Callithrix jacchus: one gene and its partner. The protein of the gene in region 2 purifies or fractionates together with the protein of the main gene of each other region. This does not show direct contact. Links are inferred from orthologs where the notes say so. Each region holds a gene or a part of one and is shown on either strand. Other genes may lie near its edges.

Region 1 (3,750 bases), on a different chromosome or scaffold from region 2:
AAGCTGTCTCGACTTCTGGGCTCAAGGAATCCTCCTGCCTCAGCCTTCCATGTAGCTGGGCCCACAGGCATGCCACCATGTCTGGCTAATTTTATTTTTTGTAGAGATGGGGGTCTTACTTTCTTGCCCAGACAGGTCTCAGATTCCTAGGCTGAAGCAATCCTCTTGCCTCAGCCTCCCAAAGTGCTGAGATGAGGGTGGATACAGTGGCTCACACTTGTAATCCCAGCACCTTCACAGGGAGGGTGAATTACTTGAGGACTGCAGTTCAAGATCAGCCTGGTCAACATGGTGAAACCTCATCTCTACTAAAAATACAAAAATTTGCCAGGCGTGGTGGCAGGCACCTGTAATCCCAGCTACTTGGATGGCTGAGGCAGGAGAATCACTTGAACCTGGGAGGCAGAGGTTGCAGTGAGTCAAGATCGCGCCACTGCACTCCAGCCTAGGCAACAGAGACCCTGCCTCAAAAAATAAATAAAGTGCTGAGATTATAGGCGTGAGCCATCCTGCCCAGCCTAAAGTATTTTTTAATCAAGGTACATAAGTTTTTTTTGGACATAATAATATGCACGCTTAACAGACTATGATAAAATGTAAAAATAACTTTTTTGCCCCATATGACCTGCAGGAAAATTTTTATATGCACTGGGAAAAACAAAGTGTCTGACTTGCTTTACTGCAGTGGTCTGTGACTGAACCCCCAAGAGCTCCAAGGTATCCCTGGATCCAGAATCTGACTACTTCTCACCATCCCTTGAGCTTCGCCCCGGTCCAAGTCTCCAATATCTCTCATTCAGACAAGTAACTACAATAGCTCCTAACCAGTTTTCCTTTCAGTCAATTCCCATCAACAGACACATTAAACCTCTTAGAGCATAAATCGGATCATGTCACTCCCCTCTACTATCCACCTCACGACAGTAAAAGTCAACGTCCCACAATCTACGAAGACCTACCAGGTCTTATCCTCTTCCCCCATCTTCCACACTCCAGGCTCAGTCCTCTGTAGCCAGACTGCTTCCCATTCTGATGTATAGCTTCTAAGCCTTAAGGCCTTTGCACTTGCAGTTCCTTGAGCCTGTACCCCTATTCTCCCAGATGTATGTATGGTTGTGAACCCTCGCCTCCTTGAAGTCTTTGCTAATATGTCACCTTCCTTGTGACTAAAATGACATTTAAAACTGCACTACCAGGCCGGGCGCGATGGCTCACGCCTATAATCCCAGCACTTTGGGAGGCCGAGGTGGGTGGATCACGAGGTCAAGAGATCGAGACCATCCTGGTCAACATGGTGAAACCCCGTCTCTACTAAAAATACAAAACTTAGCTGGGCATGGTGGCGCGCGCCTCTAGTCCCACCTATGGGGAGGCTGAGGCAGGAGAATTGCTTGAACCCAGGAGGCGGAGGTTGCGGTGAGCCGAGATCGCGCCATTGCACTCCAGCCTGGGTAACAAGAGCAAAACTCCGTCTCAGGAAAAAAAAAAAAAAAAAACTGCACTACCTGGCCAGGCGAGGTGACTCACGCCTGTAATCCCAACACTTTGGGAGGCGAGGAGGGCGGATTGCCGGAACTCAGGAGATCCAGGAAGGCCTGGCCAACACCGTGCAACCCCATCTCTACTAAAAATATAAAAAATAAGCCGGGCCTGGTAGCGTGGGCCCATAATCCCAGCTCGGGAGTTTGAGGCATGAGAATTGCTTGAACTCGGGAGGCAGTGGTTGCAGTGAGCCTCTCTGCAGAGGTTGCATAAGCTGGAGTGAAGTAGCTCGCGCTACTCTTCACTCCAGCCGGAGAGACGTAGGGACACTCTACCCCCCACAACAAACAAACAAAAAAAACAAACCCATACTACCTATCATTCTTCTTTATCTCACTCCACTGCACTCATAACCTTCTAATGCACAATATTTTATTTTGCTTATTGTCTGTCTTCCCACACGAGAGATATTAATATTAAGCTCCACAAAGACAAGAATTTTTTTTGTATGTTCTGCTCACTGCTATATACCCAGATTCTGATACATAGTTGAATTCAGTAAGTAACTGCTAAATGGAATTAACAGGCAACAGGGAAACATTCTAGTCAGACATATTTTGAGACATTAATGACCAGACTCCAAGAGTGCAGAGGCAAGGCAGAGTGGAGAGAGGAAACGGAAAGTGCAGAGGAAAGAACGGAAAAAAGGTAAAGGGGTCGACCCACCTGGAGGAATAGCCTACCTGGAGGATTGAAGGACTTCTGATGACGAGAAAATCTATCAGAAGACTGTCTCCAATACCATGATGTGGAAGCGTGGAAATTCCAGGAAGGCTGGCCATTGGGTTGAGGCTGAGAATCAAGGGGGAACTGGGCATCGAAGGGGGGTTGCGCCCCGGGAAGAATCTGGGCGTCGAAGGGGGGCGGCGCCCCGGGGAGAGACTGGGCCTCCGCGGGGGGCTGCGACTCAGAGGAAGCCTTTGACCCGGCTGAGGGAGACGAAGACGTAAGCGGTGGCGGTGGCGGCGGCAGCATTGTCCAGAGCATCCAGCTGTCCCGCCGCAGGGCAGTGTCGCTCTGAGGCCCTAACGTGGGAGTCAGCTCGGGAGACTCACGCCACCCGGCAGGACTTACGAAATCACCAGCCGGCTCAGCCATACCTTCTGCCGGGTCCTGAGTCTAGCACGCGACTGCGGAGCAAGCATTAGACGTCACTTCCGTTGCCGTAAACCACGCGGCCCAGCCAACCACAGACTTTACGTCATCAGTCGGCGCCGGGAAACCTTCCATTCTTCTCTGCGGATCGCGGGATTACTTTGGGATAGGTTTGACGTACCTGGATAGACTCGTATCTGTGACCAGTGTCCGCCACTGCGGATGGCAAGGGACCTGATCGGACCGGCCCTGCCGCCCGGCTTCAAGGCCCGCGGAACAGCGGAGGACGAAGAGCGGGATCCGAGCCCCGGTAAGCGGCCGCGTCTCCGCAGCCCACCAGGCCTATCTACCCCCTCCCTGGCCGGGCCCTGCACGCTGAAGAAAGGTCGGAAGCCTAGGAGGACGGAGGAGTGGGGAGTGGGCACGGCCCGACCCGAGAGGACTTTTCTTCCCAAACGGTAGCAGTAGGGAAGAGGCTGGGGTACCCTCCTAGAAACCGAGTTTTGGCGTGGTAATCTTCGTAATGACAGTACATTCTCATTTAGCGCTTAATGTGAGCTGCAAGCTGCCCTAACTGACTGATACCCATTCAGTCATTTAATCCGTAGGAGGAAAAGACTATTTTCCCAAGTTGCAGATGGGTACGCCCATTGCCAGGGTCTGCAGCATACTGCTAGCAAGTGCTGGAGCGCGACTTAGAAGGAAGCGGTTCTCCTAACCTCTGTGCCATATTTGCCTTCTGATGTACAAGAAGCTTGCAGATCCTGTTCTCTCCAGCCCCGACCTGCCTTCCTAGCCTCTCATTCTATTATTGCATCTGACACACACAGCCCAATACTCAAACCACCAGCCTGTGTTTCTGCGCAGTTTCTTAACGCTCCAGGCTTATGGGCTTCCTCTGGTTGCATTTCTAAACATAACTAACAAACTTCTACCTATCCTTCAAGGGCCAACTAACATGTCACACAATAAAACCATTCCAAATTCCCCGAAGCATTGTCACGCCTTTCTTTTTGCCCTCGGGTTTTTTCCTAATTACATTGCGTATTTAGTACATTTGTATCTGAATAATTTGTCGACACATCTCTCTCCACCAATGCGCTATGGTCTTGT
Region 2 (3,650 bases):
TTAGTAGAGATGGAGTTTCACCACGTTGTCCAGGCTGGTCTCAAACTCTGTCCTTGTGATCCGCCTCCCTGACCTCCCAAAGAGCTTGGATTACAGGCATGTGCCACTATGCCTGGCCTTTTTTTTTTTTTTAAACATTTTTATTTTATTTTTTTGAGACCAAGTTTCGCTCTTGTTACCCAGGCTGGAGTGCAATGGCGCGATCTCGGCTCACCGCAACCTCGGTCTCCTGGGTTCAACCAATTCTCCTGCCTCAGCCTCTCGAGTGGCTGGGACTACAGGCATGCACCACCATGCCCAGCTAATTTTTGTATTTTTAGTAGAGATGGGTTTTCACCATGTTGACCAGGATGGTCTCGATCTCTTGACCTTGTGATCCACCCATCTCGGCCCCTCAAAGTGCTGGGATTTATAGGCATAAGCCACCATGCCTGGCTTTTTTTTAACATTTTTAAACTTTAGTTTCTACTCAGTGACATTAGTTCTGTGCCTTGAGATCATTCAGAACAAGTGCATCTTTAACCCATAATAATCTTAAATATGTGTGGTTCTTTTTCTTAAGTTTATTTTATTGAACCCTTTATTACCTCTACCATTCTACTCTAGATTTTATCAAATTTCAGTTTAGTTCTGTTAAACTACACATCATTCAAAAAGACTGAAAGTACTTAACTTGTCTAAGCCTCAGTTTCACCATCAGTAAAACAGAGATACGTATATCTCATAAGGCTATTACAAATTTAGGCCAGGCACGGTGGCTCACACTTGTAATCCCAGCACTTTGGAGGCCAAGGCGGTGGACCATGAAGCCAGGAGCTGGTGAACATGGTGAAACCCCATCTCTACTAAAAATACAAAAAACAGCTGAGCATGGTGGCACGTGCCTATAGTCCCAGGCTTCAGCTGTTGGTCAGGCTGGCCCAACTCCTGATCTCAAGTGACCTGCCTCAGCCTCCCGAGGAGCTGGGACTATAGGCGCCCACAACCATGCCTGGATAATTTTTCTATTTTTAGTAGAGATGGGGTTTCTCCATGTTGGTCAGGCTGGTCTCAAACTCCTGACCTCAGGTGATCCACCCACCGCAGCCTCCCCAATGTTGGGATTACAAACGTGAGCCACCGTACCCCACCACAAAATGCTTTTTACATAACTCACCTTTCTCTATTTAACAAGAAAGAGATTATACGAAGATTTAATATGCACTATAGAGAAAAGTGGTTATATAATAAAAAAGTCCAACCTCAAAAAACAAAACCATGTAACACACCTTTCCTTTGTGCTTGGGACTTGTCTGGCCGACGAGTGAAGCATGATAAATGAGACCATACTTAGGGGTATCCCGTCTAGATTTGAGGGCTCTGAAAAGTGCCTTTTCTGCTCCAAGAATTTGAACTGTAGAAGCTGCATGCTTGGCCAAATTCAAAAGAGAACCTACAAAAGAAGAAAGTTACAAAGAATGCACTTCCAAACATCTGAATGTTCCATGTACTAAAACAAAAGACCTATAGAATTATTATGCCCACCATAATAAAATAAAAATCACATATAATACAGAATTCTTTAAGCCAGAATTCCCTAAAAAGCCTGATGTTTCGTTTCTAATTCCTTCATCAGTACAAGCAGGTTTGTGATGAATGCCTAGGGCAAACTGAAGGTTAAGCTTTTTAGTTCAATGTTTCTATTCACCCCAGAGATGGTAGTACTATTCTATATTCCATTAGTATACTACAGGAGTAACACAAATATGTCACACACGAGAACACTAATCTGGCCCCTATTTTCTGAGATTGTATTAAATATTCTATTGCTTTAGATATGAAAAAGCCTGGCCAGGCACGGTGGCTCATGCCTATAATCCCAGCACTTTGGGAGGCCGAGGCGGGTGGATCACAAGGTCAAGAGATCAAGACCATCCTGGTCGACATGGTGAAACCCCATCTCTACTAAAAATACAAAAATTAGCTGGGCACGGTGGTGCACGCCTGTAGTCCCAGCCACTCGGGAGGCTGAGGCGGGGGTGAGCCAAGATTGTGCCATTGCACTCTAGCCTGGGTAACAAGAGCGAAACTCCGTCTCAAAAACAAACAAACAAAAAGATATGAAAAAGCCTACAAACAAACACATTTATTAGGACATCTCGGTAGCATAACCCTATAATAAATTCACAACTTATTTACTTCTGTTGATTCAGCTGTGGATTAAGAAAATATATTCCTAGAAGTATACTAATAGTTCCCTATCTGTGGTTTCAATTAACTGTGGTCAACTGCAGTCTGAAAATATTAAAAAGGAAATTCCAGAAATAAACAGTTCCAAAGTTTCAAATCTCTTGCCACCGCACTCAGTCCCCATATTCAGATAGGGAGAATATGAATTATCCCTATCTACCCATTAGTCACTTTCCTAGCCCTCTCCACAGTGCAATATTGCAGTGCTTATGTTCATGTAACCAATGCAGAAAAATAGTGACACTGGGATATTGTCATAATTGTTTTATTATTACTGTTGTTGATGTCCTACTGTATCTAACTTATAAATTAAACTTTATCATACGTATGTGTGTTTAGGAAAAAACAGCATATACAGCACAGAGTTCACTACTATCCTCTGTTTCAAACATCCATGGGTGGGGGTGGGGGGGCTCAGAATATATCCTCATGGATAGCTGGGGACTACTGTACTAGTGAGTTATCAACATACTGCTTAGCTGGAAATGTTGTATAGAATATTTCCTGTCAGAAAGCACACTCACCATTAATGCTACAAACTTTACCATGAGACATATTTTTTAAAGTGCAACAAATACATACTTCTTTTTTTGAGATGGAGTTTTACTCTTGTCACCCAGACTGGAGTGCAATGGCACAATTTTGGCTCAGTGCAACCTCCGCCTCCTGGGTTCAAGAGATTCTCCTGCCTCAGCCTCCTGAGTAGTTGGGATTACAGGTGAATGCCCCTATGGCCGGCTAATTTTTGTGCTATTAGTAAGAGACATGTTGGCCAGGCTTGTCTCAAATTCCCAACCTCAGGTGATCCACCCACCTCGGCCTCCCAAAGTACTGGGATTACAGGTGTGAGCCACGGTGCCCAGCCAACAAATACATACTTCTATTAACCCCTGCCATCGATTAGTGCTACAACTTTAGCTGTATGCATGAAAACAGGTGAAGAAAATGAAATCATCTGATCTTACAGCTGCAGGCACTTGAATGAAACCTCTGATTAATGATGCAGCTAAAGAAATTATGCCAGACTGCACGCAGTGGCTCCTGCCTGTAATTTATCCAGCACTTTGCAAGGCCGAGGCAGGTGGATCACCTGAGGTCAAAAGTTTGAGACCAGCTTGGCCAACACAGTGAAACCCCATCTCAACTAAAAATACAAAAATTAGCCAGGCATGGTGGTGGGCGCCTGTAACCCCAGCAACTTGGGAGGCTGAGGCAGGGGAATTGCTTGAACCCGGGAGGCAGAGGTTGCAGTGAGCAGAGACTGTGCCACAGCACTCCAGCCAGTGCAACAGAGTAAAACTCCATGCCAAAAAAAACCCAAAAAAACAAAAAAAGAGTTATGCCATTTTAAACACTGATAGCATTTTAATTAGAGCCTGTCATCCTTATAATATTGCCATACATGTATACAAAGCTTTATT

What was found. Proteins that work in one complex are often made in the same cells at the same time.
Region 1: the proteins of NOP58 (region 2) and NUFIP1 purify together in Homo sapiens (co-immunoprecipitation; 3 studies listed by BioGRID and IntAct, with this or other methods). This does not show direct contact. The link is inferred for Callithrix jacchus from reciprocal best matches to the Homo sapiens genes NOP58 and NUFIP1.

The regions. Positions count from the first base shown.
Region 1 is NC_133506.1:164,198,084-164,201,833, forward strand, and holds the start of NUFIP1 (FMR1-interacting protein NUFIP1), read right to left. Parts: upstream 2,677-3,750; 5' UTR 2,641-2,676; coding exon 2,226-2,640; intron 1-2,225. Other genes in the region: GPALPP1 (GPALPP motifs-containing protein 1), read left to right, coding at 2,860-2,947. UniProt on the Homo sapiens protein: Binds RNA.
Region 2 is NC_133507.1:123,462,840-123,466,489, reverse strand, and holds part of NOP58 (nucleolar protein 58), read right to left. Parts: intron 1,433-3,650; coding exon 1,269-1,432; intron 1-1,268. UniProt on the Homo sapiens protein: Required for the biogenesis of box C/D snoRNAs such as U3, U8 and U14 snoRNAs. Part of the small subunit (SSU) processome, first precursor of the small eukaryotic ribosomal subunit.